3 linked regions of the Mytilus edulis genome follow. The protein of the gene in region 2 binds, or shares a complex with, the protein of the main gene of each other region. Links are inferred from orthologs where the notes say so. Each region holds a gene or a part of one and is shown on either strand. Other genes may lie near its edges.

Region 1 (11,298 bases), on a different chromosome or scaffold from region 2:
ATCAATTTCTGTGGATTTCATAGTTAAAGGTGAACCACTAATTTAAATGTTCAATGAATTACAAAATTTCTATAGACTTAAAGCAGACTTTGGCAAAACTACAAAGTCAAATATTGACAAAAATACAAGTTTTTACTTAATCAATCCACAAAAATTGTAACCCATGAAAACCACTAAATTCACAGGACATTAAATATATTTGCTTGGTCTCTGTTTTGTAAAAATTTTCCCTTCCATAAACCCTAGAACATTTGATCATTTGATATAAATATGGATGAAATGTTCTGTAAACATTGCATTGTTTGTATGTTTTGGAAATTATTGTATTTTGTGTGTGTAAGCATGATGATACTGAGAAGCTTGTACACCAAAATATTTGTAATAAATTGAAATGAAAACTTGCTGATGTTTCTTCTTTTAATTTTACTTTATATTTAATAGTTTAATCAAAGCTGTCTTATGATTTCCATGGATATGAAGAACACAAAAAAAATTAGGGTTTGTTGGTTGTCAGTGCTCTTGTAACATTTGGATTATTCAGTTGAAAATCCTCTCTCTGGTTAAACCACATATCCCTTCAGTTTGTTAGTTTCCAGAGTTGCCCATCTATTGACTCAAGAACCATCAGTCTCAGACTTCACACTATAACTTAAACCATAAGCTCAGTCAATTATATCAAACATCAACACAAATAAATTTATTGGTTGAGAAATTTTGTCTCCAGGTAGACCATAGGTGATAATATAAATAGATATAGGAAGACGTGGTAAGAGACAACTCTCCATCCAAGTAACAACTTTTAAAAGTAAACCATTATAGGTCAAGGTACGGACTTCAACACAGAGCCTTGGTTCACACCGAACAGCAAGCTATAAAGGGCCCTAAAAATTATAATGTAAAACTATTCAAACAGGAAAATCAACGGTCTAATCTATATAAAAACGAGAAATATGTATGAACTACATAAACAAACGAAAACTTCTGTACATCAGATAAAGTATGGATGACCCAGTCAAGAATCATTAAGATAAGCTTTATATTTTACAGTTATACATTTTCATGAGTACTATTTGTGAATTGAACTCAGGTACTTGGCTTGTTTCCTATCCTTGTCACTATATAACCTATGATTCATTGTGATATTGGTCAATAAATCACAATTTAAATTTAAGGTGAAAAAGGGGTCCATTTTCATCTTTAAGTGCCTTATTGAACCTTCTCCTTTCGTGAAACTTTGTAGATATCTCCATACTGACAGGAAATTATGATTTCAACTATTGTTTTTATCAGTTTTATCGGTTATGCCCACCTTTGAACTTAGAATTTTGGCAAATATACAACTGCAACAGTTTGTCATTCCAACTCCTCTCGAACCACATAACAGAATTGTATGAAACTTTATTGATAATTAGTACATACTATATGTAGGTGTGCATAATGACACATTTGAGATTCAATGCTTTTTCTAAAGAATTATGCCCCTTTGAATTAGAATTTTGACTATGATATACAAATTCAATAGTTTGTTAGCACATATCTCTAAAACAACATAACATAACAGAATCTTATGAAACTTTTTTTACTTAATAAGGTCATAAAATGTTAATTTTCATATTCACACAAAAAAAATAATAATACTGGTAGTTATAGTAGGAGTTTTGAATCCTTGAACTTTGAAAGGACAGTTATTGTTTTCTCAGTGACAATGTGGTGTTGGTTATATGAGTGTGTTCAAATTTAATTTGATAATAAAACATGTTCAGATGGGAGACATACAGATGGGTATAATCATATTTAATTTGAGGCCAAAGGTCAAGGTCAGAACTGCAAAAAATAAACTGAAATCAAAGCATTGTAAGCGCTATTGGCAGGTAACCAAAAACCAAGACAAATTATAGTTTAGTTAGAAATTGTTGCTTCTGTCTGATGTCTTCAGATGCACTTGTTTTAGCAAAATTTCTACAGTTGTGAGTAGAAAAGGGTTTGAAGAAATCAATTTTATGCAAGAAGTCAGGACTTAGTGTGAGGATAGCTGACATACTTTGCAGTTTGAAAGTAATCACTGTATTTTTAATAGTGTCAGCTTGTGAACACAACTCCTCTGAAATCATTCGACAGAGCTAGAACTCTCACTCTTTAAAGAATTGTCTGCCATGTGTAGTGGACAAAATTGTACCATTGTTGGAAAGATTGGAACTTGTTCTAAATCTTTCCTTAGGCACTGGCCTCTCTAACAACACAACTGGTTAGCTACTATTACTAAATGTATTCACACTGAAATATAGTTCCCTATAGTTCTCATGTATGTTCACATAATATACATATAAACTGTTAACAAATGGGTATATTTTTGGAGCAGTTCATACAAGAAGGTATGTCATTAAGGTGTCTTGATGAAAAGGCTTTATTTTTAAACATATTGAGTATTGATACAATACTAGATGATTGACAACTCATTATCATCAACCATTCAGGGACAAGGTGGACCTTTAATTACAATGCCCCACCTCCTAAACTGTCAATCAAATTGACCACATTACTTATCAACCTAAGTCTTACATAGTTATACCGACCCTATTACATCTATGCTTCAATATACATCCCAATAAACAAATATCAATAAATATTTGACCTCAAAATTGAATACACTAATGTATATACTAGATGTTTGATATATAAGGATGATAGATTTATTTATTGCCTTTTACTTTTGATCTACATTACATAAAGGTGAATCTGTAAAGTGTGTCTGAAAGATAAATGATTAATTAAGGATTAATAAGATCTTTAAGAAAAATGAAATATAAATATGAATATATAAAAGGTATTCAAGTAAGGCGTATGATTTACTTGATAAATTTACAATATTCATCTGCAATTAATCAATAATTTAGGTTAGTTCACTTATTTTTTTTATATCAGTAATTGGCTTGAAACAGTTTTAAAATTTTAAAACTTTTGATTATAACAAACCATTTTTTATTAGTTTATTCCCCATCAATCATTATGTTTATTTTAGTCATTTGAATTTTTATAAGAAAGTGAATACATCTTTTTGCAATCAAGAAAAAATCCGCTAGAATAAGTTTTTTTAATTTGTTTACGTTGAAAAAGTACATTTTCAATGCCCCGTTCTGAAAAATATGAATTGATCAAAAGGCACAACTTTTAATCTTCAATGTCATATAACCTATGTTTTAACTTACAAAATGCCCCAAAACAACATTTTTAGATTATTTTTGTTGACACTTTAAAGTTCTTAGCTTATGTCTTATAAGAGTAGTTGTAACATTTACTAGAAGAATTTTCAGCAATAGTGCTTTATTTATGTTCTTTCAGTCCCCTCCATACCTTAATATGAAATTATCCAAACTACTCTTCCAATCTTTCCATGAGTGATATCCATCACTTTGATTTTTATTTGACTATCGATCAACAATAATGCACCTGGACAATTCCTCTTTTCTGGCGTAGAAATCTTGTTAATCTTTACACAACTGTCATAATGTAATGAGTTCTCCAAAGTTTTGAAATACAAAAACCTCTTCTGGACCTTATTTATTCTGGATTCCTATGATTTAATAGTTAATATATTTAAGAAAAATAAAGACATACTCAAGAGATTTCAGTTTGAAATAACGATATTAGAATGTAGAACAGAAAGTCACAGGACAAAAAGTCAACACTAAAAAAGGTAAAAAATCCCATAACTCTGATATAATTATATAAATGGTTGGATCAAAATGACAGTATTATATGGTCAACTACAAATAACATGCATTACCAAGTATGATGGCTTCCTGTCAGATGCATCGTCCCAGAAGAGCTGCATTCTCACAATTCTCCATGAAATACTCAATGTCCCTCAACGCCTGTAAAATTGGTTTATTTACAATGACTCGGAAACAAATCCGACTAGATATGTACCTACAATGATTCTTTGCCTAATATTCACATTAAGAGAGGTCAAAGTAGTGGGGGAAATATAACAACTGGTTTAGAATAGTCGGGTAACAAAATATGAGAGATTTCTGTAAAATGGTCTTAGAGTAGTGGCCTTTAAAAGGTGTTGTAGTTACGAAACCGATAAGTTTCTGTATAACGGTCTCAGAGAAGTTGCCTTCACAAGGTGTTGTAGTTAGAAGGCGAGAGATTTCTGTGAAATGGTATTATAGGAGTTGCCTTCAAAAGGTGTTGTAGTTAGGAGACGAGGGGTTTCTGTAAAATGGCCGTTGAGGAGTTGTCTTCACTAGGTGTTGAAGTTAGGAGACAAGAGGTTTCTATAAAATGGTCTTAGAGGAGTTGCCATCACAAGGAGACCAGGGGAATTGTTAAATGGTCGTAGGGGCGGTGGTCTTCACTTATGTTGTAATTAAGAAACGAGAGAATTCTATAAAACGGTCTCAGAGGAGTTTCCTTCAAAAGGTGTTGTAGTTTTTCTGTAAAATTGTCGTAGATGAGTTGTATTCATTATAGGTGTTAAATTTAGGAGACGAGAGGTTTCTATACAACGGTCTTAGAGGAGTTGCCTTCAAAAGGTGTTGTAGTTAGGAGACGATGGCTTTCTGTAAAATTGTCGTAGAGGAGTTGCATTCACTAGGTGTTTAGTTAGGAGACGAGAGGTTTATATAAAACGGTCTAAGAGGGTGTTTCCTTCACAAGGTGGTGTACTTATGAAACGACTTTTTGATTTATTTTTGATTTGTTTTTGATTTATTTCTGATTTATTTTATTGGTGGAAGGGGGCGATTGAAGCATTTTTTTGCGATTTACTATTCATTGTTACCTGTTGCCACGCAGGCTTATTTCTTTTAAGATGCTAAGTGCGCTAAAATCTTTTTATTTTTTGTACCCAATTGTTTCCTGTATGTTATGTTATTGAATATTAATTTTTCTTCCTGTCTTAAGCGAGGTTATTTCTTTCCAGCTCTTACCAGGCCACAATGTTTATTTTAAGAACCCATCTGCCCCTCCCACTTAATCTACTAAAAAAACGGTAATAAAGACAAAAGCATACTATACAAGTAAGTAAGTAAGTAAAACTTTATTTGGATTCGGCATATTGACAAACAGTACAAACATAAGCTCTATTGAGCTTTTCACCCGGAATATAAAAACATATGCAATAACAAATAAAACAAGGCATGCAGCATACAAAATAAATAATAAAAAGCAGCACCAAAAATTAACTCTAAGCAATAGCATATACATGTATCTTGCGAAATACCAAAACATATATATGAAGCACTAAATCTTGAAAAATTTGCAGTTTAAAAATTATTTTTTAAATAATTTATGATATTTATGACTGATTTATAAAGTAAAAAATTTAAATCTTTCAAACAAAATGTAAAAACAAAATTTCAGTTACAATGCTAGCTGTTATTACTTAATGCAGCATAAAAAGGGTTAAGCATAAAAATAGCAACACAAATTATCTACAGGCAGAGCAAAAACATTCTGTTCCACTCCAGGACTGTCTGAACAAGACTTTAAAAATGTGAGAAGCTGTTAACAGTCCTGAAATGGTCTGGTATGCTATTCCATAAAGAAGCAGCAGCAAAACTAAAAGATTTTTTTCCATATGAAGTAGTTCTTACCAGTGGTATTTCCAAAATATTACTGTATCTAAAAGAATATTTAGTGTGTTTAATTTGGAGTAAATTTTGTGAGCCAAATTATTTAAAACTTTTATAAGTCTCAAGTGCCATTGTCCTGATGCGTTTTACTTGTAGGGTTGGAACCTTTGTGTCTCAAGAAGAGTTTCAGAGGATGATCAGTAGTCGTCATATACAAATCTCAATGCACTCTCTTGTATTTTTTCAAGTTTTTTTTAGAATTTTCTCTGCCGGTATAAAAATGTCAAGCCAAAGGGCAAAAATTAAAATTACTAAATATAAAAGTATACAAATAACAACACAGAGAACTAGTCTTGGTAACATGAAGCCAACCAAAATCTGAGGGTGATCTAGACTGACAGTATATAATTGAATTGATAAATGTCCATTTCTGACATTGTTTTTTTACGCTGAATTTTACAAATTTTCCAAATTTATCTGATTATACTCCATCTGGTAGGTCTTTGATGTGGATCTTGTATCATAAATCTACCCAGACCATTTTTGAAGAATCTTCCTTTAGTGCAACCCTAAAACACACGTACTGTCTGACTATGCCTATAATTACTGGGTCCTCTATTCAAATTTATCTTCTCTATATACCAATTTCCGGATTAACACGTTCCTCTCCGGACTTTGTGTCACATTTACAAAAACTGAGCCTTTTCCGGCTAGCAGTCGGTGAAATATTTTCAACAGTACCCATCAGCGTGTGTGAAATCAGAACCTATGTCAATTAAGAGCCGGAAGTGAAAGTAGAACCATATTTTACACCTGCGTTATAGCCTACAAATAGACATATATATCTACCCAAAAGATGATGTGAACTGTCACGATACCGGATTTATTATCAAATTTTAAGTAGCTGAAATCAACACCATTTGTATACAATTATCATTGGACATCATTAAACTGTTGAACTGATAATAATAAAATGTACGAATAAAATGGCAACATTTAAATATTTTTCTCTGTTAAAGGCACATAAATTTATGTTCTGTTCTCAGGTTCTGTTTGGCGTGAATAGGAGTCTGGATGGGGTTTACAGAAAAGGGAATAATGGTAAAAAAAAGTGCAGAATAAAGGGTAAAATGAATGAAAAATATAGAATATTGGCAAAAATGATAATAAAATTAATAAACAAGTGTATGGTGCACACTTACAAAGAATAAAGAATAATGGGCATGCAAAATAAATAATAAATATTAGAAAAAAATGAACTCAAAATCAAAGAATAAAGACATAAAAAAAGCCCCTCCCCTTCAATCCAGACCCTCATGAATTTGATTCCAGTTCTATCGTAATTAATTACAAACGCTTGTTGACCTCAATTTTGAAGATAAAATTGTAAGAAAAAGAAATTATTGAAAGCTTAGTGTTGATGAACGCTTCACTGTGCCAGTAAAGTAAAAAATATATGTGTATTTATTTTTTATCTGGGACTAATTAATACATTTATTTACTAGTTCCAGTTTCATACATATTAAAATATTCATAAGTTATTCAATATTAGAATGTAATATGTGTTTTTTCATAGATATCAGGTACAACGATCTACAATACTACATTTATGATGGGTATTTCTAAAATATCAAAATATGATTACAATTACACAAGCATTTTCTCCCATGTGAAAATTACTTTTATCGACCAGAATTTTTTTGGCATATGAGTAAAACAGAGGTTGGAATTTAAAGAGAAAGATAAGTTTGACGTAGTTTATTTATGTAGGCATGTAAATGATTAAAATCTTTAAATGAGAAAAAAATAATATGATTATCTACGTAATGTCTACATAACAAAAACGTCAAAACGAAAGCGACTTTTTATTAAATTCTGTTTAGTGGACGACTATTTTATTTTCGGGGGAGAGTTAGGGGAAGAAATCCGTTTAAAAAAATGCATATACCTACCAACAGTGGTAAATAAATAGCCAATTCCCAGGCGCGTAGCTCCCTATACGCCAACACGCAGTTGCGTGCACATCAACACAGCATGCAAAAAAAATGTCAAAATAAAAATTTAAAGGAAACACAAATATGTTGTTTATAATAAACAAATCATTTAAAAATTGTATGTTTTCGAATATCATAAATACAGTTGTGAAAATGAATAATCATGAGTCCCTTGCTTTAATGGAAATGAAAAATCTTGCTTCAATAGTGCAGAAAATGAATAATTTGTCCTCTTAGATTACAAAAATAAATAACCGATCAAAAACAAATCCTCCTGCCCCCCCCCCCCCCCCCAGAATGTCAAATGGGCGACCCCTAAGTCTACATATATAGGATTTTTTTTTCTGCGACAAGTGCCTCAAACCACGTATTAAGATTTTTGATAAAGGACCACAATAGGTAAAAGTCCAATTTAAAATTAAATGTTTTAAGTTCTTAGACTACATTCATTCTGTGTCAGAAACCTAGACAGACAACCTGAATGGTTCAATAATGGAAAAATTAGAGAGAAATACCATAAATTAGGAATGTGGTCCGAGTTCAAATTTTGGCGAAACAGGACAAAACACATAATCGATGAATCAAAAAGAAAATTTTGTTCAAAGATGGTAAAAGATTCAAAAGCTTCTAAAGATTTGTGGAAATGTATTCAAAGTCTTAACCCATCCCAACAAGAAAAGCCATATGAACTTTTAAATGAAGATGGTGTTAAAACTAATAATGTCAGTGACATTTGTAATGTTTTAATAAGTTTTTTACATCTTGTGTTGAAAACCTGAGGACTGACAGATGTATGAGCAAAACTCATGATTATGCAAAATTAAATCAATTTGTACAAAAGAAATTTAATAAGTCAGAACAAGTAAAATTTTCAATTGCACCAGTCACAATAAATGGTCTATTTAATGAGATGATCAAACTTGACATTAATAAATCCACCGGATTTGATAACATAGAACCAAAATTTTTAAAATTGAGTGCTCCTTTCATAACGTCATCTTTAACTTACATTTTTAACAGAATAATAGATACAAGTACATTACCCAGTGTTCTAAAGAATGCAAGAGTAACCCCAGTTTTTAAAGCTGGTGAAAAATTCATGGCAACAAATTATAGACCAATTTCTGTACTTCCTGTTTTATCAAAACTTTTAGAAAAGCATGTTTCAAAACATTTGTATGACTACCTAAAAAGATTAGATCTTTTACACCCAGCACAGTCTGGGTTTCGACAAGAACACTCTTGCCAAACTGCCCTTATCAATATCATAGATAAATGGATACAGGATATGAATGATGGTGATATCAACTTAGCAGTCCTGTTGGATTTTAAGAAAGCTTTTGATGTAGTAGATCATGATATGCTCTGTAAAAAACTTGAAATTTATGGATTTGATAATACTGCTGTTTCTTTTTTTAAATCATATTTGAATGAAAGAACTCAACAAGTACAAATTGGTAATGCTCATTCTGAAAAACTTTATATCAAGTATGGTGTCCCCCAAGGCTCCATATTAGGCCCCTTCTGTTTATATTATACATAAACGACCTTCCTATTTATATGCAAAATTGTTGCACTGATTTATATGCCGATGATTCAACTTTACATCTTTCTGGTAATTGTTATCAAACTCTACAGTCAAAGGTACAAGAAGATTTACATGGTGTAGAGGAATGGTGCAATGATAACAATATGTTCATCAATAAAAATAAAACAAAATATATGATTATTGGAAAGAAGCAAAGAGCAATGCCACATTACAATGAGAGTTGTTTAACTATTAACAATCAAGTTATACAATCTTCCACATGTGAAAGTCTTTTAGGCATTAAAATTGACCCTTCCCTCACATGGACAAACCAAATTGATGTGATCTGCTCAAAAATATCATCTAGACTATATCTACTATTAAAGATTAAAAAATTTCTAAATCTAGACCCATTCGCTCCTTCTGCACCCTTATTCAAACATTTAAACTGGATGACAGTTGAACAGAGAATAAAATATCATAAGTTAGTGATGACATTTAAGTGCATTAAAAATGATGCCCCATCATATCTTACTAACAAGTTTCATTATGTTTCAGACAGAAATCCATACCCCTTGAGAAATGCTGTTCAAGGAAACCTCATACTCCCTAAACCAAAAACAGAATTGTTCAAAAAAATCTTTTATGTATTCTGGACCATTCTTGTGGAATAATTTGCCAATACCGTTAAGAAATATTACAAATGTTAATTCTTTCAAATACAAAATAACAGATCATTTATTGAAATCAACCTACCTGTATCAAAAATATTAAAAACTGATCATGTTATCATGTTTATTTTTTTTTTCATCACATTTTATCAAGTTGTATTAAACATTATTATCATACTTGACTTTTTATACTATAAATGTATGCAATGTATATGCAGGCGCGTAGCAACCCGTACGCAAAAACGCAGTTGCGTACACATCAAACATTCAGCAAAAATAAAAATATGGTAAATACAGTTAGAATAAAACTAAAGTAATGAAGTTAATGAAAAAAAATATACAAATATGTTAATGATGTTTGTAGCTATATTCCGTTCCGAAAACTAGTCTTCCCTTTTCATTTACGAAACCAACATCGTAATTATGTTGCTGATGCAAACAATTTAAAATGACTGAGTCCTCCGGGTGTCAAAACACAATTGTTACGTCTTCTATGCCTCCTTACCCTGGCATCTTTTCTGAAGATTCCAAAATAACTGATGAAATAAAATATGACATTCTTAAGAGACCATGGACATCAATTCATTCTTATGAATTTCCTGTGAGGTATGTATAAGTTTAAAAACAGTCTAGTCCAACTTAAGTTTAACGGGGGTGGTAAAGGGTAAAGTTTTCGTGCAACTGTACTCATCGTTTTTTTTTTCATTTGACGTTCAACGTGTTTTCACTTTTTTTAATTTTTGTGAAAGACGGGTGCCTTTTTCGTTCAACAAGTTACATGTTCCCAAATTTAAATAAAAGTGCGTATTTTCCATGCTTTCAGTTTTAAAGTTTTTGTTTTCCGTAATCCTAATTTGAATAAAAAAAAATTACTGATCCACCATCCAAACCCCACCCTTTACTACCATTTTTAACCTTTACTTACTAGCAAATTTTTAGAATTTTATTTAATATTGTTGAAGAAATAAAATTGATTTGATTTTGTTATGCCCTACCCACGATAATAGATGGGCATTGTGCTTTCTTGTCTGTGCATCCGTCTGTCCGTCCGTCTCTCTGTTGATCCGTCCGTCGTATGCCGGTCTCGATGAGAAGAGTGGAGACCTACTTGAAAAATACAATGAAAACGAATCGTTTATATGGACTCGGTCTTTTGAACATATACCGAAAAAAAAATCAAAGCAGACACGGTTTTGGACATCTTTAGTAGAAAAAAAGAAAGGAAATGGGCATTGATTTTTCAGAATCAACTTTGAGAGAAATAAAAAAGCTGAAAAACACTGCTTGTTCACTCATAAAATAAAACATAAAGATATATGTGATTCGAATTTTTATTTATGTATTTTCTCAATAAAAAAAAAATACCATTTAAGTTGCACAGTGTTGGCTTAGAAATTAGTTTTTCTAATGTAAAGTGGGTTCAGCATGATTAGGTAACAAATAAAATATACCTTATCAAGCCATTTTAAAACACTACACATAAGGAAAAAAACAAATTGTTAAGCCAACAGTACGGGTTTCTTTAT
Region 2 (12,030 bases):
CAAAAAAGTCAATCTAAAAAACTTATCAAAAACCTTTATATTTTGAAGCTTGAAACAATACATTTCAATATCAAATTATTTTAAATCTATCTGCCTCTTACAAAATAGGGTTGCATACCAAATGATGGAAATGAAGAAATGAAGCAATAGCTCAATACTATACCCCTATCATCATGACCACTTCTGGACTGTGAATATAACTTTCTTCTATAATATTGTCTTACTTTCAGGCCAATCGACTGGTGAGCTGCTAATGTGACTGATATAGAACCATCAAGTGCTGTTATTTCTGCTAGTCTGGCAAATTCTGTAGCATTTAGTCCTAGGCCACCTAAAATGTTTCAAAACTATATGTTTTCTGCAAAATATATGTACAAACATTGAGTTGTTCAATATTACCCACATAGCTCTTAGTCTTTATACTAGAAAACCTTTCATGTGTTTAACAATTTTTCTTGCAAGTGAAGTAACTGATCCTTTTGTTTTCAACATCCTTTGAAACTTTTATCACGTCTTAAAAACCAATATAGCAAAGCATAATAAGATAAATTTTAATCCAATTCACTTGACTATACAGTATACACAGAGAGGACATATTATCATACTCCCAACACTGATTTTGGTGTAACACAGTGTCACACTGTGAAATTCAGATTTCTCTCCCAAAAAAATCCCAGTTATAACTCCCATCTGGGAGGATTTTATGTCTTGTTGATTGCAGGTAAAAGTAATAAAAATCAACAAAGCATGACTATGGTCTGACATTGACAGGTAACTACAGGTCAACTATTCTAATGGCTTATTCTCATTTCGCCTTAGCTGTCAAAATAGTTATATAAAATTAATCCCAGTTTGCCTTGCACAAATTTTCAGGTACACAATAATTAACTAAGGCGAAATGGGAGCATGTGTGGGCGCACTACGTTTGCGCGCATTTGGGGATTAAAATGTTTTACGTTTGCGCAGCTTTTGATTACATTTGCGTGCATTAATTTTACAGGTAATCTCAGGAAAAGATATCAATAAAAATTATACTAAATCATAAATGACTATATTTTTTTTGTATTTTCATAACAGATATGTCTATCAATTATTAATTTTGAAAAAAGTTTGTTAATTCAAATTATATATTGCTCATATTGATTTCTAAAACCAAGTATAAACTCCGTTATAGCTTAAGGTCAAGTTACAATAAATGGGCTATGTCACAGATTTTCTTAAAATTTTGCATACACCTTTGACTTGTTGAATTGTATCGCAAAAAATATGCGGCTTTATCTCTTTTCTTCCCTACTTTATGAGACTTATACTAATGGAAGGGGTACTGATACTTGTAAATAATTGAACAAATTAATAAATATATGAGTATTATTACATTTTGTACCTGTATTTTCTCTAAAAATTTACTGATTGATTTTTTTCAAAATAGGTGCTTTAGGAGACTCAGACTAACGGAAGGGTAACTGATACTTGTAAATAATTGAACAAATTAATAAATAAACAAGTATTATGACCTGTAGTTTACCTGTCAAAAAAATGTGTGCAAATGTAATCAAAAGCTGCGTGCAAAAATGATTTTTGTGCGCGAATGTATTGGCAATGCCCGCAAATGTAATGGTAATGCGTGCAAACGTACTGCACCGGCATGTGTAAGCAATTTAATTAATTGTTTTGTTTGTATTGCAATTAGTTGATATTTGTTATTTTGATGTCAATTCTACCATCAAATATTTTTTTCTATTTTTGGTGTCCCATTTTTTAAATAATTCTTTTTTATAGTTGCTCTTCTTTTTCTGAAATTGTATTTTTTTTTTTACTTATGTGTTATATTTTGTAAATAAAGTCTTATTAGAGATGAAAAATTGGATATGGATATTTCATATTTTAATGAATAAATAAAGACAAATATCATACTACATGTATCATAACAAATATTTTATTTCTGAATCAGCACTAAATTCAAAGCACAATTTTACATTTGCGTACCAATAGAGATCAATAGAGAAAATGTACATGTTATTAATAATACATGTAGCATACGCTTTGTGTTGAAGACTGTAATTTAACCTATGATGGTTCATATTAATACTTTTACAAATCGTTGTCTCATTGGCACTCATAACACATGTTCTTATATCTAAATAAAGGTTACTTACCATATTCTTCAGGAATTTGTTGACCAAATAACCCTAAATCTTTTAACTGCTGTAAAACATCATCAGGAATTTTAGCTTTTTCATCTATTGTCTTTGAATCAACTACAACAAAGTTGAAAACTTTTCTATCAGTCAGCCAGGGAAATTATACAAGTCATCTTCATTTGCTTGAAAGTGTTAGTAATATTTACTTGTATAGAAAATTTTGGAAGACTTGGATTTAATTTTCAAAGTTTGATCTTTTCCCAAAATTTACTTCCACAAGTACTATTTTTACAACCCCCTTAACATTGTTAAATTTTTAAGTTTTGGGAGGTCAAAACATGCATAGAAAGAGCAGTATGTTGACAGGAAAAATAAACTAACTTTCTTTCTTTTTTATTAGATAGAGACATTTAATTTTTTTAAATATCATGACTACAATTTATTATTATTATCTATCTTATGAACCTCAAAGACTAAAATAAGATAGAACCAGGTGCTCATCAGGGCACAGCTTTATACGAATGCAGAAGTCGATCCCTGAACAGTTGGGGCAAGTATGGACACAACATTCAAGCTTGATACAGCTCTGAATTTGGATTGCGATCAAATTTTTGACATAATATGAGTTTCTGACACAAAACAAATGTCAAGATCTTACAAATCTATTGCGCAATATTGTGCAATTAAAGATTTCTTCTTTTAACTTTTCAAAAATTTGGAATTTTAGAAATTTGAAAAAAAAATTAAAAACAACTACCAGCCCCCTTTTTTTGCAATTAGTCCAAGACCTGACATTTCTTAATACATAATATACAAGTAGTGTAAGGGAGGTAAACCAGAACATACATGTACCCAATATTGTATGTTAAATGTTTTAGAATTACCTCCCTTACACTGCTTTTAAATTGTCTTAATTGTCCATTGAACAGAAATACCTATTTTTTCCCCTTTTTTTGCCCCTAAATCCGAAACATTTTGAGCCATAACCCCTCAAAGTCAATACTAACCATCTCTTCATGGTATGGTAACTTGTGGTTTAATTTCAGAGAGATTCATACACTTAAACATAAGTTATTGTTTGAAAACTACAAAAAATATTATTTTGGGCCCTCTTTTTGGCCCCTAATTCCTAAACTATTGGGACCATAACCCCCAAGATCAATCACAACCTTCCTTTAGTGGTATTTAATTTTCTTGTAAAAATTTAAAGAGATCCATACACTTAAACACAAGTTATTGTCTGTAAACTAGAAAAATGCTTCTTTTTGTCCCTTTTTTGGCCCCTTATTCCTACATATTCGGGAAAACTAACCTCAAACTAAATCTCAGTTTTTTTTGTATTTTTGCGGTTGTATAATTATGGACCAAGGATATTAAACTTGTACAGAATGAATAACTACCTTCATCAAAAAATCTTTCTATAGGCTGCACCAATTGGTTTATATCATCTAACTGTTCTTTCGTAAGTTCAGGGTATATCAGAGCATCCTGAAAATGTCAAAGCATCTACATTGTACATACGAATACTTTGTTTTTGTCTGTGTCACTTAAAATTTATAATTTTACAGGAAATGGTGTTTGAATTTCTGTACAAAATATTTACACTTTATCTGTTAATGTTGACCATGTTGACAACCTTCCCAATAGTTGCTGATTGAACACAGTTATTTTGTAGCACATTTCTTTTAGGCAATAACACGCAATAAATTAAAATCAACAAAATCGCTAGTCCATGGTAAAAATCTCATCAGAATTGTGATTACCCCACAGGTCTAGTGAACATCTGAAATCATCATATTTTCATATTAAAATGTTTAGGATTTTATGTCTTTACATACACATTACACATTATTGCTATTCCAGGCTGACCCAAGAATCTGTCTCGCTTGAACTACTGACGTCATACAACAATCACTTTACCATTGAGGCGTCAGATAAATTCTATTTCTGATGTCAAAATTTCACGGAAACCTGTGTGATATCCAGTAACAGCTCAGAGTAATGGCCGACAATAGCGATTAGGTTCATTGTATGTAGATGTATTATTATTATTGTGGGCAAAAAGCTGTATAGTGCTTATGTAACCTCCACTTATATTTTATAATAACATTTTCTCTTCTATTTGATTGGAAATAGCAGTATTTGGAAGATCATGTAAAGTTGTTGCATCGGCTAATACTTTTTTTCATAATTACCTTATCAAAATTTCCAAGAAATAAATTTTTAACAAATGGATCATTCGTTTTAGGTTTTAATGCTTTCTGGATATACTCTCCACTTTGACTAGTTTGAGTTATTTCTTTATCGTCTAGATCTGCTTTCTGAATAGAACCGCTACTAGCTTTTCTACGTTGTAACCTTACAATGTGCTTGTTAGAAGAAAACAGTTTATCCTTTGAAAAATACCGTAGAGTATAACTTGTTCTCGACCACATATTTCTTAGTTTCAATTTCTATTTTTATACTGGTTCCTCTGTGTATTCAAACCAACCCGGGAACCAGACGAAAGGGTTTGAATAACGGATAGAAATAAACTATATTTATACCAGGATATTAACTTTTATCCTTGATTACGATACTTATTTTTAGTATTAATCACATAATTTATTGATCTAAAATTTAGAATTTTTTTTTGTAGTATCATATTCATAAATAGAATTTTAATAGACAATCTGATAGAGCTTCTATCTTTTACTCAAGCTTTGTGAAAGATATTTTACTTCCTTGTTCAAAATCTGTAGGACAGATAAGGTGTTACTTCAATGTATGTAATATAAACCTTTCATTTTAGATAATGTCTGTATGATATAGATCTTCCTTTATTTCGGAATGCTGTTTTCAGTGATCTTATAATTATAAAACTACAACCCAATAGGCATAAAAGGCAATATATAAATTATTTCTATTTAAAATCCCAAATTATACATAATTTTGTTCATATACAATGTATTAAATATACAAGCTCACATTTACAAAAAATAAAAATAAACTAAAAAAATCTGGAGCAACACATTTTCTCAATGATAATGCTGGATCACAGCCTTTTATCTACAAGGACTCCCTTATAACAAGCAGTTCATAACTTCATTAACATGATCAAGACTCAATATTGTCTTTGTAACGGATCACATCAAAGACATCAAATAAGGCGATAAGTCGAGTATGCGGTCTATATAAGTATCTTTATTCTTCAAAACTACATTGTGTACATATAATTTTGGCTTCATATACTATATCATAACAACCGATTCTCTACAATAAAATACAAATACACGTAAGTTAAAATATAACTTAAAACACTAAAGGCATAATACTAATCAAACAATATGATTCACTTTCTTTCACGCTTCATAAGTAACTTGTTGAATTAAAAAGTTAATTAGAATAAATATTAATTTATAAATACTTTTACAATTCTTAATATTTCTTCTTCAAATAAATATTGTTCTTAAAAATGTACATAAATTATCTCTTACTGATTATGATCTCTCTATAAAATAATGATGTGTCTCCGAATATCAAATAACTTGCAATGAATAAAAAACTAGACAACGTAACGTACGTCAAAAGCGAAACGTCATAAAACTTAAAAACGGGAAATATTATAATGTTCATGAGCAAAACGTTACATATGCGCAAATACCCAAAAATAGTATCTACAAGTATTATAAATAAAATAAATAAATTCAGTAATAATAAATGAAGTAACCCAACAATTTGGAATTACATTTCAAATCTAACAGTCTTGTGAGACTATCAGTTATCTTGTTTGACCCCTAATTTTGCATTTCTTAAGTATATTATACTAAGTTTACTTAGCTTTATGCTAAGTTACAGTAAATGGGCTATGCCACAGATTTTGGTTTGGATCATTGAAAAAAAATTGTGTTTGTAAATTAATTTAGTACATGTAGTAGTTGAACGTAAAATAACAGTTATCACCAAACATTTACCTAAAAGACCAAAAGTATTTAACAAATCAGGACGACATAAAATTATTAAAATATCCTTAGGAAACCATATTTTAGAATGTGTACAGAACTAGTATTAGTACATATACTTGAGAATATTTTTTTTTAGCATCTGGGAACTTTCAAAAGGCAAAGAATAGAACATAATAATAAAAGAATGACAGCTTATTGCAAATTAAGGAAGACCTTTTCAGTGGAAAGCCCAAAATCTATTACTTCATTACATATTTATAACCATTATAATCAGACCTATCTTGTTGTATGGATATGAAATTTGGGGTTATATACCACATAAGAAACAAAAATATATGGATAACTTCATATCAAAAGAAACTGATTATCTTGTTCTAGAGAAAATTCATACTAAGTTTTGTAAGTTTTCTTGGAAGTAATTTAAAAACATCAAATATGGCATGTAGAGTTGAACTAGATTAAGGTAGCACAATACAAAGATTTTTCATCCCCAATCAGACATCTTTAAACTGATGTAATTCCACTCATCTTTCTTTAAATTTTATAAATAAGGTACCAAAAAAAAGAAGAAAGATTAATCTTTCAAATTGTGATAATTTCATTATGACATAATTATTACATAATTAATTGTTATGTAATTAGTTGCCATTCTGTGATGTCCATACTTGAATGAATTTAGCTTCTTTGTTCTTCATAGCATCCTAAATTTTTTTTATAGATTCTTGCACAACACAGTTTGACCTCCAAAACTGTGTCTCAGATTTTTCCTATTGTATTTCATTCTCTCATAAATCTTCAATGAAGTTTGCAACATCAATTCATTAGAGACCACTAAGTTCAATTGGGTATAAAATTTGTTCTATTGATGTTTTTGGAAATCTGAGACACAGTTTTGGAGGTCAAGCTGTGTTGTACAAGAATCTATAAAATATTTTGGGATGCTATGAAAAACAAAGACGCTAAATTCATTCAAGTGTGGACATCACAATATAGCGACTAATTACATAATAATTAATTATGTAATGATTATGTCATAATGAAATTATCACAATTTGAAAGATTAATCTTTCTTCTTTCTTTTGGTACCTCATTTATAAAATATAAAGAAGGATGAAATGAATTACATCAGTTTAAAGTTGTCTGATTGGGAGTGAAAAAATCTTTATATTGTGCTACCTTAACTCCCTACACTTTATTATGTAATTATCAGTATGATAAAATATTGGAATCATCGTATGAAAGAATTGAACCTTCAAATATTATCCTATATGGGAGGCCATAAATTTATCCCATTCTGTGAACAAACCTAACCAGGAATCTTGGATAGGAAACATCAAACATATATTAAATTCTAAGATCATGTAGATTTAGACTTTTCTTTTGTTAACAAGTTTGAAGTACCGTTAAACTTTACAAAAAAACAATATTTAAAAAAGAGTTTAAAAATTCTCTTAAACAATAAAATTTTAAAGAAATTTGGATGCCAATATACAGTAGGGCAATAGATTAAGAACTTAAAGACATTTTTATGTCCCATTTATGGGCATTATGTTTTCTGGTCAGTGCGTCCGTCCGTCTGTTTGTCCGTCCGTTAGTCCCGCTTCAGGTAAAAGTTTTTGGTCGCGGTAGTTTTTGATGAAGTTGAAGTCCAATCAACTTGAAACTTAGTACACATGTTCCCTATGATATGATCTTTCTAATTTTAATGCCAAATCAGAGATTTCCCCCCATTTTCACGGTCCACGTAACATAGAAAATGATAGTGAGGATGGGGCATCCGTGTACTGGGGACACATTCTTGTTTAAATATATTTTATTTTTGAATTTTTATGAGGTAATCATGTGACCTTATGATATAACCATATTGGAGGTTTAGCATTGGGTAAAGGGTGTTTTAATAATCTAAGAAGTATAATAAGCCAAATATCAAGACTACATGACAACCATGAAATACTATTTTAAGACTTGATATTTAGGTATATCATAAGCCAAACATCAAGACTAAATGACTACAATGTACTTCTTAGATTATTAAAACATTGAAATCGGCTGTAATTCAATGAAATAGTTTTGGTTGCTGTTTTCGATTAGTCATTCAGTAACCTCCGTTTCATGTACAAGTTTATATTGACGGAAAGGCCCAACTTCGCTAGTACAGGAATTAGTTCCATTATGACAGCTATAACATGAGTAGCAGGACAAGTCGCCAACTAAACTGTGAAATTTGTCGCCTCTATCAGCAATAAATCGCTAAAAGCTAAAAAGATTTATAAAATAGCCAAATTTAATCTGTGTGGATTCTATGTTCCGAGTCAGTCAACATGCACCATTTTTTTTTTCGACAGCCTTCAATATCTTGCTCCAAATTTCACCACCCGATTTGTTTAATTATCAGGAGCATTTCATTGAAACTAATTAAGCACATGTAACGGTGGTAATAAGCGTTTTTTCAGATTATTTGACGTTTTGATACGTTTGGAAAAAATGACTACCGTTTTGCAATGTTTCGTAGCATTTTATTCCTTTAAGACCCACACATGTAGTTAATAAAGAAAAGAATCTAGGCATTTTGTACTTTCTGTGTATCTAACTTTTGTTTTGATAATTATAAATTACTTATTGAAATATAAAGTAAACCAGGTGCTCCGCAGGGCGCAGCTTTATACGACCGCAGAGGTCGATCCCTGAACAGTTGGGGCAGGTATGGACAAAACATTTATGCGTGATACAGCTCTGAATTTGGATTTTGATCAAATTTTTGACGACGCAGGACGACGACGCCAACGTGATAGCAATATACGACCAAAAAATTAAAATTTTTGCGGTCGTATAAAAACCAACATTAATTGCTTTGACAAATGAAATATTAACTTGGACAAAATGACTACCGCTTGAAAAACAACTCTAAAGAGAAGCCTTTATAGAATCTACTTTTTTAGCTCACCTGGCCGAAAGGCCAAGTGAGCTTTTCTCATCACTTGGCGTCCGGCGTCCGGCGTCGTCGTCCGTCGTCGTCCTGCGTTAACTTTTACAAAAATCTTCTCCTCTGAAACTACTGGGCCAAATTTAACCAAACTTGGCCATAATCCTCATTGGGGTATCTAGTTTAAAAAATGTGTCCGGTGACCCGGCCAATCAACCAAGATGGCCGCCATGGCTAAAAATAGAACATAGGGGTAAAATGCAGTTTTTGGCTTATATCTCAAAAACCAAAGCATTTAGAGCAAATCTGACATGGGGGTAAAATTGTTCATCAGGTCAAGATCTATCTGCCCTGAAATTTTCAGATGAATCTGACATTCCGTTGTTGGGTTGCTGCCCCTGAAATGGTAATTTTAAGGAAATTTTGCTGTTTTTGGTTATTATCTTGAATATTATTATAGATAGAGATATACTTTAGGAGTTATTGCCCTTTATAGTCAATTTTTAACCATTTTTCGTAAATCTTAGTAATCTTTTAGAAAAATCTTCTCTGAAACTACTGGGCCAAATTTAACCAAACTTGGCCATAATCATCATTGGGGTATGTAGTTTAAAAAATGTGTCCGGTGACCCGGCCAACCAACCAAGATGGCCGCCATGGCTAAAAATAGAACATAGGGGTAAAATGCAGTTTTTGGCTTATAACTCAAAAACCAAAGCATTTAGAGCAAATCTGTCGGGGTAAAATTGTTCATCAGGTCAAGATCTATCTGCCCTGAAATTTTCAGATGAATCGGACATTCCGTTGTTGGGTTGCTGCCCCTGAAATGGTAATTTTAAGGAAATTTTGCTGTTTTTGGTTATTACCTTGAATATTATTATAGATAGAGATAAACTGTAAACAGCAATAATGTTCAGCAAAGTAAGATCTACAAATAAGTCAACATGACCAAAATGGTCAGTTGACCACTTTAGGAGTTATTGCCCTTTATAGTCAATTTTTAACCATTTTTCGTAAATCTTAGTAATCTTTTAGAAAAATCTTCTCCTCTGAAACTACTTGGCCAAATTTAACCAAACTTAGCCATAATCATCATTGGGGTATCTAGTTTAAAAAAATGTGTCCGGTAACTCGGCCAACAAACCAAGATGGCCGCCATGGCTAAAAATAGAACATGAGGGTAAAATGCAGTTTTTGGCTTATAACTCAAAAACCAAAGCATTAAGAGCAAATCTGACAGGAAGTAAAATTGTTGATCAGGTCACGATCTATCTGCCCTGGAATTTTCAGATGAATTGGATAATTGGTTGTTAGGTTGCTGCCCCTGAATTGGTAATTTTGAGGAAATTTTACTGTTTTTTTTGTTATTATCTTGAATATTATTATAGATAGAGATAAACTGTAAACAACAATAATGTACAGCAAAGTAAGAACTAAGAGTAAGTCAGTATGACCAAAATAGTCAATTGACCCCCTAAGGAGTTATTGCCCTTCATAGTCAATTTTTAACAATTTTCTTAAAATTTGAAGATTTTCAATAACATTTTCCACAGAAAGTACTGTTATAGATAGAGATAATTGTAAGCAGCAAGAAAAGTTTAGTAAAGTAAGATCTACAAACACATCACCATCACCAAAACACAATTTTGTCATGAATCCATCTGTGTCCATTGTTTAATATTCACATAGACCAAGGTGAGCGACACAGGCTCTTTAGAGCCTCTAGTTTTAACTCATGAACAATGAGGCAAATATTTGTTCTTTTGATAGTTGTTTATAATACCTTACTTTTTTTCAGACACTCTATGCTATATCTTCTTATAAAATTAATTATTGGTCGTTGAGTCAATGAAAAACGTCGGACATTTTTCTTATTCTAGCTTAATATTCAGCCCCCGAGTCAAAAATAAATTTGACAACATAACAGCTTTAATGTCACAAAGAACCAACATATGTCGTTGTTCACACAAAGTTTCTGGAAGATATGTAAATGAGAAACAGTATCACTATACGTAAGAGTTAAAACAGTAGTTAAAAAAATGTAACTTTGGACATCCGTTTTATCGCATATCTTTGTTGTTTTAATCCTCAGGTATTCTAGATATTACTTAAGCATATGAACAAGAGCTATAAAAACGTAATTGAAAACATATACTGAACTTTTTTTTATAGTGGTTAGTGTTTGCTAACATTTTATTTTGTCTTGCGAAGGAAAATTTAGAATATTCTTCTTAGATCTAAGAATAAATTCAGATCGTGGTGAGGTCACGGTATGAGCAGCATGAAAATGTAAATTTTCGTTGCTTTCATGATTCTACTACGTCCTCATTACGCTTCTACAACAATCCCGCTATGATTATGCCACATTCTCACTACGCTTATCAAGATCTTTCTGAGCTCATCACGTTCTCACTACGACCATACCACGAGTTATCCGATTGCAACACAATCTCACCACGCTTCTACTGCGATTAAAGCACGTTCTTTCCACGATTATATCGTACGTTCATATGGCGATCTTACTACGTTCTCAGAAAAAATACAGTCATGTCACCAAGATCTACTAGAACACGTGGTCGTGGTGGTAGGGGTTGATGTAGCGGCAGAGGGAGCTCTGATAATAAAGAATACTGATCAAGCAGAGATGTCGGACCGAATAATCCAACCTAAATTACAACCTATTGCTGGTCCATAAAGGTCAAATGACGATATTTTAGTGAATGATAGCAGAGATGACACAGATGTGTCAATAGATATAGGAAGATGTGGTATGAGTGCCAATGAGACAACTCTCCATCCAAGCAGAGACTTTCTACGGCCTTCAACACGGAGCCTTGGCTCACACCGAACAGCAAGCTATAAAGGGCCCCAAAAATTACTAGTGTAAAACCATTCAAACGGGAAGACCATTTTTTTCACAGATCGAAGTGCGATCGTGGCCTAGTGGGACTGCGGTATAACCAAATACACTGTGCTTATTTTGGTATTTTCGGTATAAAAGAAATTTAAAGTCACCTAAAGG
Region 3 (11,114 bases), on a different chromosome or scaffold from region 2:
TTGCTCACTTGATGAATATGCATAGGTGGTATTCATCCGCGACAATAATATTTCGGTATATCATTGATATTGAAGATCGTTTGATTGATATACGAATATTTCTAACGACAAAACATTTTCATGTTATTAATTTGCATTTAAAAAAATCTGAGTATCCATTGAAAACATGAATATAAAAGAAGAGACAAGGAATTTTATTCTGCACTATAATGTTCGCGGGTTCATAATGTCGGTTATTATCCCAACACTAATTATATACGCATCTCTTTGATCTTTGAAGATCTTTGAAAAGTAGGCGATGGCAATACACCCGAGGCCCCTCAGGGGCCTCTGATGTAAAAATGGTCAAAGACATTTAGACACTATGTATATAAATTACTGTCAATTATTAAAACATTACAAAATCCATGTACCAGGTGTCATTCCAGTTAGTGTGAGAAACTGAAGACTATCTTTGGTAAATACGGTTAAATGTTTATTAAAGTTTTCAGTATTTCTCCTTTATCAGCATATAAGCAATTCTTCCAACATACCAAGTTATCTTCTTAATTACACCTTATGTAAGAATCCTGGGTTTTGACGGGTTGATAGCCATTGTATTTTTCACCAATTTACTGTAATGATCTTTAATCAAATGAATATCGTTCATTTTTTAACGCCGCCGGGGTATGACATTACGGCTCGTGAAATTTTACATTCTCTCGACTGGTTAATTAACATGATACATCTGTTCAATATTATAGCAATACTATTAACGTTAAATTAAGTTCAGTTTTTCATTCTAATTTTTAGATATTATTAGGACCATGTTTCGTGATGACTGGTAATAGTACATTTATTGAGTTAATTAAACAAAGTACATGACTATATGAGTGGATGTTGCCCTTGAGAACCCTGATGATATATGACCATTTATATCCATGACACTTACATGTTCCTAGATTTTTATAAAGGACATTGACTTAAATATTAAAAAAAGCAATTTATAAATCTAGTATCTCAACCTAAATAAATTAATATTTTAAGTAGGTGTGTAACCTTACCAAATATGTAAGGTTACAGATATGTACAGCAAGAATGAAATGTCTGTGAAAGTGGGCAATGTAATGACACCATCTTTCAGTTCACTAGTTGGGGTAAGACAAGGGGATGTTCGATCTGCCTCCAAAATTTGAGCCAAGTCCAGATGCTGTTGATATCAATGGGCGTAGAATTGATTGTCTTATGTACGCTGATGACATTATTGTATTATCAAACACAAAAAAAGGTCTTCAAAACCGACTTGATATATTGCATACTTATTGTATTGACTGGTGTCTAGATGTAAACTTGTCCAAAACAAAAGTTTTAATTTTTTTAAAACAAGCCTGGAAAATTTGTAAAGGAATCATTTTATTTAGATAAAGAGGCTATAGAATGTGTTAATAAATGTAAATATTAAGGGATATTCTTTACTTCTAGTGGTCTTTTTCAACAGGGGAAAGAAGAGCTATTCAAAAAATCCTTAAAGGCAAAATTTAAATCACAAAAATCCATGTCAGCTTGTAATCCAAGTATTGATACTGCAATTCATTTATATGATCACACAATAAAACCAATTTTATTATATTGTAGTATAATTTGGGGTTCATTTAAAATTAACTCTGCTGCTTGCAAGAAAAAAGTGATTATCTATTTGAATTAATCTACATAAATGATTATTTGGAAAAATCACATTTCAGATATTTAAAGTATATTCTTGGTGTAAATAAGAAAGCCTCAAATTTAGCAGTGTTATCAGAGGTTGCAAGATTTCCTCTTTATTTTTCTGTCATTATATCCATGGTAAAATATGTACACAGGCTTAACAAGTTGGACAAAGGGTTACTTTATGATGCTTATGTTTGTAATAAAATTTTAGATGCAGAAAACATTAATTGTTGGTATTCATCTATGAAATATGTACTTCAATCACTTGATATACAAAATTTAGATACAAAGCTCAATAAATTAATTAAATTTGTAAAATGTAAACTTTGTAATAGTTTTAAAACATTTTGGTTGGTCAAAAGATCTGAAACCTTATCACAAGGTAATAGTAAATTAGAGAATTATTTCAACCTCAAGACTGACTTTGTAAAGGAGGCTTTTTTATCAATTAAAGATTTTAGTATAAGAAGAGCTATATGTAAAATGAGAATAAGTGCTCATGATCTGAAAATTGAGAAAGATAGATATAGTAAAAAATACATAGAGATAACTCAACGTCTATTTCATCACTGCTTATCACATGGATCAAATTCTATTGAAGATGAGACCCATTTTACAGTAAATTGTCCATTATATGATGAACAGAGGAAATTATTATTTGATAAAGTTATCACTTTTTGTACTAATTTTAAAGAACTACCTAATGATAAGAAATATTTCTGGCTGTTCACAAATGAGCATTTACCAACTCTCATGTGCCTAGGAAATTACATTATTAAAGGTTTAGAAATAAGATCCAGATGTAAACAAAATATATGAAATAATTTAGTATTTTATTGTTATAAGATTTAATATAATAGTTATATAAAACACATGTTGTGTTAGGCTCTGATCCTGTCCATAACGTTACAGTATGTATTAGTTTTCTGTTTTGCTTTTTCCAATCATATTGTGTTGTAAAATGATGCTCTTTACGGGTTCTTGATTAGATTAATAAAATTCTTATCTTAAACAAAAACAAAAAAAAATTCTTATCTTATTGACCGCAAAATAAAAAAAATCTTTCAAATGATAAAAAAAAAAAAGATATTAAAGATGCATTCTGTCTTGGTGTAAAACATTGTAAAGTCTAGCCTAAAACCACATAAGAGCAGCCACCAGACAATATATGTTACACCAGACGCGCGCTTCGTCTATACACAAGAATCATCAGTGGCGCTATAATTGAAACAATTGGTTGGCCAAATCAACTATGAAGTTTAAAAGCAACAAAAAGCGAAAACCGTTCGAATAATTAGATATCTTATTAACAGTTAGTTTACAGAAAATGAACACATCAATGATATTCCACAAAGACACAAAAGTACTGACTACGGGGCTGGTTATCTCCAAAAGCATGCCATCGACCATAACTTGGACGGTTGTTTTTTTTCTGTTTTTGTTTTCGCCCGAGTTAACTCTTAAAGTCTTACTATATCATATTTTAGCATGGTTTTATATTTCAATAGTACATTTAGTAGGAAAACTGTAAACAGAAATTCCTGTTTAATTTGATATATTCGATGTGTTGCAACTTTTAAAAAGATATGTTTATTTCAATCGGAAAGTACTTGCGGTCACTGAACTCAAACTTAAACCCCTTTCAAGACATAATTAAAACTAAAACAAGACATTTGTTCCCCAGTCTAAAATATAAATCATCCCCATTTACAGACCTTAATTTGTTGTTCTTAATGTGACACTATAAATTATCAAAATGGTTCAGGTTCTATCTAAGCAACAAATAAAAAGCAGTATACATGTCTGTTCCTTCTGATCCTGTGAACTGTCGCATCACTGGCGGATGATGCAACATAACTATTTTTTTTCAATTTCGAATTTATCTTTTTAATTTGTCTTCATAAACGTCATCGTTCAGGTGGATCAATGTCATAGATTTATAAACAATTTGCGTATCGACTGTAAAAAGCATGTTTATTTGTTCACTGCAAATCTCTCAGTATGTATTGAGAGTCACGCCATGGTCATTGAGTAGCAGTAGCAATGACCGTTTACGGTGAGTTCTTGTTCCATAAATGTTGCCATGTTTCATTTAATAACAATGATCAACAATATCCGCGCGAATTTTTTTTTTTGTCATATGACAATCGAAAAATGTTAACCAAATTTAGAATAAGCAATCTTGTCTTTTAATAGAAACTGGCCGCGATATGCAAAAAAATAATAATACCAACAAACGAAAGAAAATGTAAAATAATATGTAATGTATTAAATGACGTATTCCATATTTTTATACTTGTAAACTGATTTAATAAAAATAAAAGAGAAATCTTTCTTAAATATTATACCGAAAAATATGTTAATTTTAACTTAACCAGAGACATATAATGCATTACAAAACTTAACTGATAAACTCGTGATTATGTAGGATTATATAGTGTCCCCCATAAAATTATGTCCCATGAACAAAATTTCACAGACATGATCTATGAAATTTGGTCCAGGACATAATTTTATTATAAAATATTGTCCACCTCTATGTAAAAGTGTCCCTTGGCAAGAGATTCTATTGTGACCTTCGTTGGACATTTTTTCATAGTAAAATCATGTCCATATTGCATAAAAGTCCTGTCTTATACCAAAAAATTTATTTAACAAAAAATAATAAGACTAAATTGACATTTGTATTTAAATAAGCAATAGGAATCTATGAATTGTTTTAACATCTTTGAATTATCCTTTTTAACAAAATCAAAAATGTCAGGAATAATATTCATAAATGCTTGATTGCAATTATGATTGAATATCAAGTTTTAATGTTTGCTCTTGTGTTTTTGTTTTTTGTCAACATTGATATAATACATTTCATTGTTTTTAATGTGAAACTGCTTTGCCTTCCTTTTAAATGATCTATCATTATTTTCAAATTCTGGAGGGTATTGACCATCACACACATAATTATACAGCTGTTTATATTTATCACTTTCCATTTTTGTTCACATCTGTGTTGTCTTTATTTAAATTTCAACTATTATTTTAAAACTAATTGATTAAAACATTTCAATGATTTCTAAATTATTTCCCTTCAATAGGGACAGAAAAAAATAGCTACACTATGAAATATTGTCCTTTGTGACATATTTTTATATAACATCCATGAAATTATGTGCAAGTACTAGGGACAATTTTTCACTAAGGGAGACACTATTTTATGGTTTACAAATGTGATATTTTGTCCCTTGAACAAAATTTCACGGCTGAACTGTGAAATAATGTTCTAGAGGACACAATTTCATGGGACACTTTTTTGGCTTACAATTATACTAAATCCATCAAAACCAAATGATATAAACACAGTTTTTTTTTAAAGCGTCATCATGAGAACTGAGCATGGAGACCAATAACTGGTTTTAACATGCATATTATATTTGTTGAGTTTTTCTTATGTTTGTTTTGTCTATGTATATGCTATAACTTATTTACTAAAATTGTTTTTTGTTTGTTTAGCAAATAATGTATATATATAATTATTAATAAATTTATCAATCGTTCATTTTGTGTGTAATCAGTATTGTTTGCTTTTATAAATTTTGATTTTGTTTCTATTGTGTATGTTTGATATGTTTGTATATCTATGAGGTGCCGTTTTACTATTTATTACTTAGTTTCTGATATCAAAAAATGATTTTCTGATTTAATATGTTTATTGTGTTAATACATGTTGGTCACACACTAAAATGTATACGACAATAAAATATTTGGTTTGATTTGCCGGTATTGTATTACCCAATTATTTAATTCCCATTGTTTTCTTTATACTTTTGCACCCAATTATTCTCTGTGACTACTTTATTCAATAATGTTTCCTTATTTTTTATTTTATGGCCAATATTCTCAATTCTGTAGGAACCAATCGAACGAATGTGAAGTAATATTATCTTGTATTGAATGAACGAAGGGAATTAACTCTTACCTGTTTCAAATAAATTTTCTTTTAAATCGTAGATTGTCTCCCATCAATTACCAAAGATGAACGTGTGGAGTTCTGGCACCTTTGCTAGGTATGATATATGTTATTTATCGTGAAAACTTTTCATTAAGTATCGAAAATCTAATAACATATCTAAACAAACTAGGCCTAATCACTAACACATTGTTCCTACCTCAATGAGCCGTGTGTAGAAATTCACAAAGATAAACCCTATTAGCCTATGCTACAGATATAAACACCGTGCTTGCATCGGAATATGACCGACAATTTCCCGTGTATTATATTTCCACAAATAAATTGTCCGTTTTCCAACCAAAAGAGTAACGTGTAAATAATATAACTTAACAACAAAACAATTATAATCATATTGAGATTGAGATGAGACCAAGTTTTTGTAGAAGGGGAAGGGTGGGGGTAGGGGAGGGGACAGAATTGAATAAAAATGAAAATAAATATTTGCAACACAAAATAGAGGAAACCTTTGTGTACAAAAGTTCACATAAAAAAATAACATGCATATCAACTGTTACAACATGAAAATTGTAACCGGAGGGGTTTTAACGTTGCGTATTTTCTGTGTCAACTTTAACATATTTTACCCCAGACCGTGTATTTACAATAGGAGGTCAATTAACATGTTAACAACACCTCGATTTTAGCAACAACAGTTAACAACATATTAAAAAATGCTGATATTAACAGTTAACACATAGGGTTGAAATTAAAACAGTCATCAGTTTAAATTTATCTCAGATAAAAGTTAACAACACCTTGAAAAAGGCCATGACAGGTTAACATAAAAAGGTATAAAAAGGTATTGCCCCTTTCATACCGGGTATATGTAACATTTTAAGAAGCAAGATCAGAGTTGCCTTTAATATATTGATTCTTATTCCTGCATATATACAAAACCCTACATTTATACAAAATGCAAGGAAGACCTATAATTTCCAAGAGAAAACGAAACAGAACTGAGAATGGAAACAGGGAATGTGTTAAAGAGAAAACCAACAGACCAAAGAGCAGAAGACAGATCAAGGCTATCTATTGGTCTTTAACACAGGCAAGAAAAACCTGCACCTGGAGTAGTGGTTCACCTGGCTCCTAAAAAATAAGGTGTAACAGATCAAGGCTATCTATTGGTCTTTAACACAGCCAAGAAAACCTGCACCTGGAGAAGTGCTTCAGCTGGCTCCTAAACAATAAGGTGTACTAGTTCAGCTAAAATGGACATCACACTAAAAAAACTTTGAATTATATAAATGAACCAAAAATTTAAAAAAGTTACCAAGTGGTTTATACATTATTTTACAGCTTATTTCGATCATTTAATTCAATATCATTTAAAACAATTATATTTTTTTTTACAGGAGTGCGGTCCTCACGAAACAATGGAGAAATGCTGTGATCAAAAGATGTATGAGTTCACCTTGTTTAAAAAGAAACAGTGGAAAAGTTTTGTTTACAAACAAATTAAACAGATTGACTTACTTCCCTAGTCGCTGTTATCCATCTTCAGAATACCCAGAGACATTTGATCCTTTCAAGAAAAAAAAGCCAGAGTTTGATCCAAATATTGCAAAGAGGAAATATAAAACCATTTATTTCTTTAAACCAATTAAAGTGGCAAAAATTTTGTCAATGTTAAAGATATACCAGACTGGATTTACATTTGCCTTGGTTCCATACTCATTATTTATGTTTCATTCTCAACTAGCTGATTTTAATGTTATTGCTGCATGTGTTGGACTTTCAATATCTGCCACAGTTTCTTTGTATTATATCAGTATGTATATACAAAACATCACAGGTATTATTGGTGTAAATGAGGATATGACAAAAGTAATGATTTCACATTTGAATTTCTGGGGCAAACGTGAGGATCAAATTTTCAAACGAGAGGAGATTGTTCCTTTCTCAGACAGTGGAGAAGATGTGAAAAGTGACATTTATAAATTAATAACATTTTTTTCAAATGATCAGAAGTTTTATCTTTTTGTGAATAGAGGCAAAGTTGTAGATAGAGAAAAGTTTGAAGAAATTTTTGGAAACTTGATATAAATAAATGTATCACTTTTATGTTCAATATTTTAGTGACAAATAATTCAGAATAAAAGATGACATAATTTTAAGTTTATATTTAGATATAGAGGTAGAAAGGTGAAGATGTATCAATGATCTGTGATTATATCATGTACATGATTTAAGGACTTGTTGATATCGGAAGAAAGATAAATGTCTTTTAAAATATTTAAGAGAATGTCTTATAAGCATGTATTTTTCAGCATTCTGATTAAAGATTATTATTCAATGATAAAAAAAAAGAGAAGGACTTAAACCTAATTTTATTCTTTTTATGAATTAAAAAAATCTTTAGAACAATTAGCTTTTATAAGTAATCTGACAAAAAAAATGAGTTATTAAATATGACTGATGATAAGGCCATGTAGGTCATTGCCATCATTTTGCGTCTGTTGTTTATTTCTGTCGTCTCCATACTTTTCAAAGAACTTTTTCTCTGAAACTACAGAACCACTTTTAACAAAACTTGGGATGAGTGATCTGTCGCGATCCTTAGGGTATGTATCTTGTATAAAATTTGTGTTTTATTCTGGTCAATAAACAAGCATGTACACCAGACTTAAAAAAGAACAAGAGTTAAAATGTATTCATGGTCTTTTATCTTGAAAACTGTCACAACTAAAAGGTAGAGAAAATATGAAAAATCAAAATTGTTCAGAATGCCAAGATCTTCCTCCTCACAATTTTCACCAAAATTATTTGTGTGGGAGTTATTTCCCTTAAATGACAGTTTTTAGTTAATTTTCATGTTTTAGCCTATTATTTTAAAACTTTATAAAAAAAAAAGAAAATGTGGTGTGAATGCCAATGTGACAACTCTCCACAAAGAGACCAAATAACACAGAAACTAATAACTATAGGTCATTGTACAGCCTTCAACAATGAGCAAATCCAATATTGCATAGTCAGCTATAAGAGGCCCCAAAATGAATATTTGTTGGACTTGGGTAAAAACTGATAAGGTCAAAAATTATAAGCAATACAAAAAGTGCCAAATAATAGAAACCATTGGATGACTTCTTAACATATTTTGGACTATTTTTTGTGTCCGTCATGACTTTTTCAAAGAACTTCTCTGCTGAACATGCTGGCTGAAAGAACTGAACTGAACCAATTCCAACAAAATTAGGGGGGGGGGGGGGGGATGATCCTTAGATATATAATTTGTGGTATCTGCCTGTCTGTCAACAAACATCTATTTTTAACAATCAATTAAACATAGAACATTAGGATAAAATCCATTTTCTTGAATCTTCAAACCATAAGAGAACAAGCAAATATAAAAGGACAAAATTTATCAGAGATCAACCTACATCATGTACTTACTGTTTCTACCAAAAATATCATCTGACAACTTAATTAGATGAGTAGAAACTATAACATGTAAAGGCAAAAGTGATCATCAAAACAAGATCTTCAAAAGTGTCAATATTATTTATATGATTAGATCACTCATCAGCAAGGAGTTATTGCCTTTAAATAACGATTGTTGACAGATTTAAGTGTTTTTGCCTAATATCTTTAAAATTATAATGGATAAATGGAAACTGTAAGCAACAAAAAAAGGTATTGTGATTATTTTTTTCACATATAACAGTAAAAATTTGGTTCAATTTGTAGTAATTATTTCTGCATTGGAACAAGTTTCAGTTATAAAAATATTGCATCCATTGAAACCTGAGACATCTGTGCAAAATTACACATATCTTTCAATTTGAAAATGTACAGCAAAAAAGAAGCAGCCAATCGAACATTACCATCAAGGAAAGGAAAGTTAACCAGAAGAGAAAAAAAGTAGAACAGTTTGTCATAAAATTTGTAATGATCATTGCCATGTGAAATGCCAACATCATGGTCTAAAAAGGACAGTGGTCACTCAGTATTGAATTAAGTAAGAGCATGGAAATGAAATGAAAATGCATTTCCATAGAAAGAGTGAGTTGAGGTGGACAACCTAAACATCAATGAAACATTTGCCACTGGACATAAAGTAAACAACCTGTCAATTAATCTAGCAATCACATTTAAAATATCTGGAATGACTACAGAGAAAATGTCTTCTAGATATCTTCATGTTTTATATATCTAGCAATGCGTGCATTATTAGTCTTTTGGGTAAAGATTGCATGGAAATGAAAGGCACTGACTTGATATCTAAATCTAAAAAGTTGATCATTCACTGACTTTGAGATAGAAAAAAATATAGTGCATTGATTATAACAATCTATACATCCAATCCAAGAACATTTCCAGATATTCAAGTCACAAACTGATGTTATACTCGTCAAGAAAATATTGCAAGGCACACGAATCTAATAGCTGTACATGTTCTTAAATATCAAGGATGTGAATTTTAACCAGATTTTCGAAGTAAAATTAATTTGTTGATTTGGGGATGTACGGCAGGCAGTGGCTGCCAAACAGTGTCCTTTCATTTCATTTCATAAAAACCCTAAGAAGATTTTTGTCATGCCCCCTCTATGAAAGTAGAGGGACATTATGTTTTCTGGTCTGTGTGTCTGTGTGTTTGTCCGTCCGTCTGTCCCGCTTCAGGTTAAAGTTTTTGGTCCAGGTAGTTTTTGATGAAGTTGAAGTCCAATCAATTTGAAACTTAGTACATTTGTTCCCTTTGATATGATTTTTCAATTTTATTGCCAAATTAGATTTTTGACTCCACTGAACATAGAAAATGATAGTGCGAGTTTCAGGTTAAAGTTTTTGGTCAAGGTAGTTTTTGATGAAAGTCCAATCCACTTAAAACTTAGTACACATGTTCCCTATGATATAATCTTTCAAATTTGAATATCAAATTAGATTTTTTTACCCCAATTTCACGGTCCACTAAACATAGACATTGATAGTGCGAGACTGGAGCATCCGTCTACTATGGACAAATTCTTGTTTAAATTTAAATATGTTGTTTCTTGTGACAAAATAAAGGTCAAGTTCAATTTTAGCTTTTCTCATTGATAAGTTATAGCCCTTTCCCAAGAATTAAACTTTTGATAAATTAATCAATATCTGTACAAAAGGAAATTACTCAATTTTTAAAAGATTTTTTAGACAAATAGTATTAGTTAATGATAAAGGACATTTTGGATTTTTGTTTTCTTTTCTTTGGTAAATTGTTTGAAGACTTTTGTGGTAGGTTTGTTTGTTATTCTGTATAAAATAGTTTATATGAATGCTTTATATAGAACTATAATAATATATTTAGATAGGATATATTTCATTACATTACATTGTGTAGATCTTTATTAGTTTGTGACAAATGAAAGAAAAAGAATTTGGCACTTTTAATTATATATGACTATAAATTGAAAAAAGATATACACTGACTGTGTTACATCAT

Evidence for each region.
Region 1: the proteins of complex I assembly factor ACAD9, mitochondrial-like (region 2) and evolutionarily conserved signaling intermediate in Toll pathway, mitochondrial-like are in contact, whole or in part, in a cryo-EM structure (PDB 8PHE), measured with the Homo sapiens proteins. The link is inferred for Mytilus edulis from reciprocal best matches to the Homo sapiens genes ACAD9 and ECSIT. Residues at the interface, in NP_054768.2 of Homo sapiens: Leu180, Thr181, Asp188, Ala189, Ala190, Ser191, Ile192, Lys228, Lys239, Asp240, Lys241, Ile242, Phe293, Ala296, Met297, Leu300, Ile431, Met434, Tyr435, Leu438, Thr439, Leu441, Gln442, Gly445, Thr449, Leu516, Gly520, Lys521, Ile523, Met524; in NP_057665.2 of Homo sapiens: Pro321, Glu322, Glu323, Trp324, Asn325, Leu326, Tyr327, Tyr328, Pro329, Met330, Leu332, Asp333, Leu334.
Region 3: complex I assembly factor ACAD9, mitochondrial-like (region 2) and transmembrane protein 186-like share a complex: the UniProt entries of both Homo sapiens proteins name them as parts of the mitochondrial complex. The link is inferred for Mytilus edulis from reciprocal best matches to the Homo sapiens genes ACAD9 and TMEM186.

Annotation. Positions count from the first base shown.
Region 1 is NC_092352.1:11,360,927-11,372,224, reverse strand, and holds the start of evolutionarily conserved signaling intermediate in Toll pathway, mitochondrial-like, read left to right. Parts: upstream 1-6,231; 5' UTR 6,232-6,311; intron 6,312-11,298.
Region 2 is NC_092344.1:87,963,395-87,975,424, forward strand, and holds the start of complex I assembly factor ACAD9, mitochondrial-like, read right to left. Parts: upstream 4,641-12,030; 5' UTR 4,577-4,640; coding exon 4,337-4,576; intron 3,630-4,336; coding exon 3,542-3,629; intron 2,259-3,541; coding exon 2,157-2,258; intron 332-2,156; coding exon 225-331; intron 1-224. UniProt on the Homo sapiens protein: As part of the MCIA complex, primarily participates in the assembly of the mitochondrial complex I and therefore plays a role in oxidative phosphorylation.
Region 3 is NC_092352.1:9,640,392-9,651,505, reverse strand, and holds transmembrane protein 186-like, read left to right. Parts: upstream 1-5,639; 5' UTR 5,640-5,718; coding exon 5,719-5,750; exon of another isoform or gene 5,751-5,810; intron 5,811-5,852; exon of another isoform or gene 5,853-5,943; intron 5,944-7,050; coding exon 7,051-7,741; 3' UTR 7,742-7,812; downstream 7,813-11,114. UniProt on the Homo sapiens protein: As part of the MCIA complex, required for efficient assembly of the mitochondrial complex I.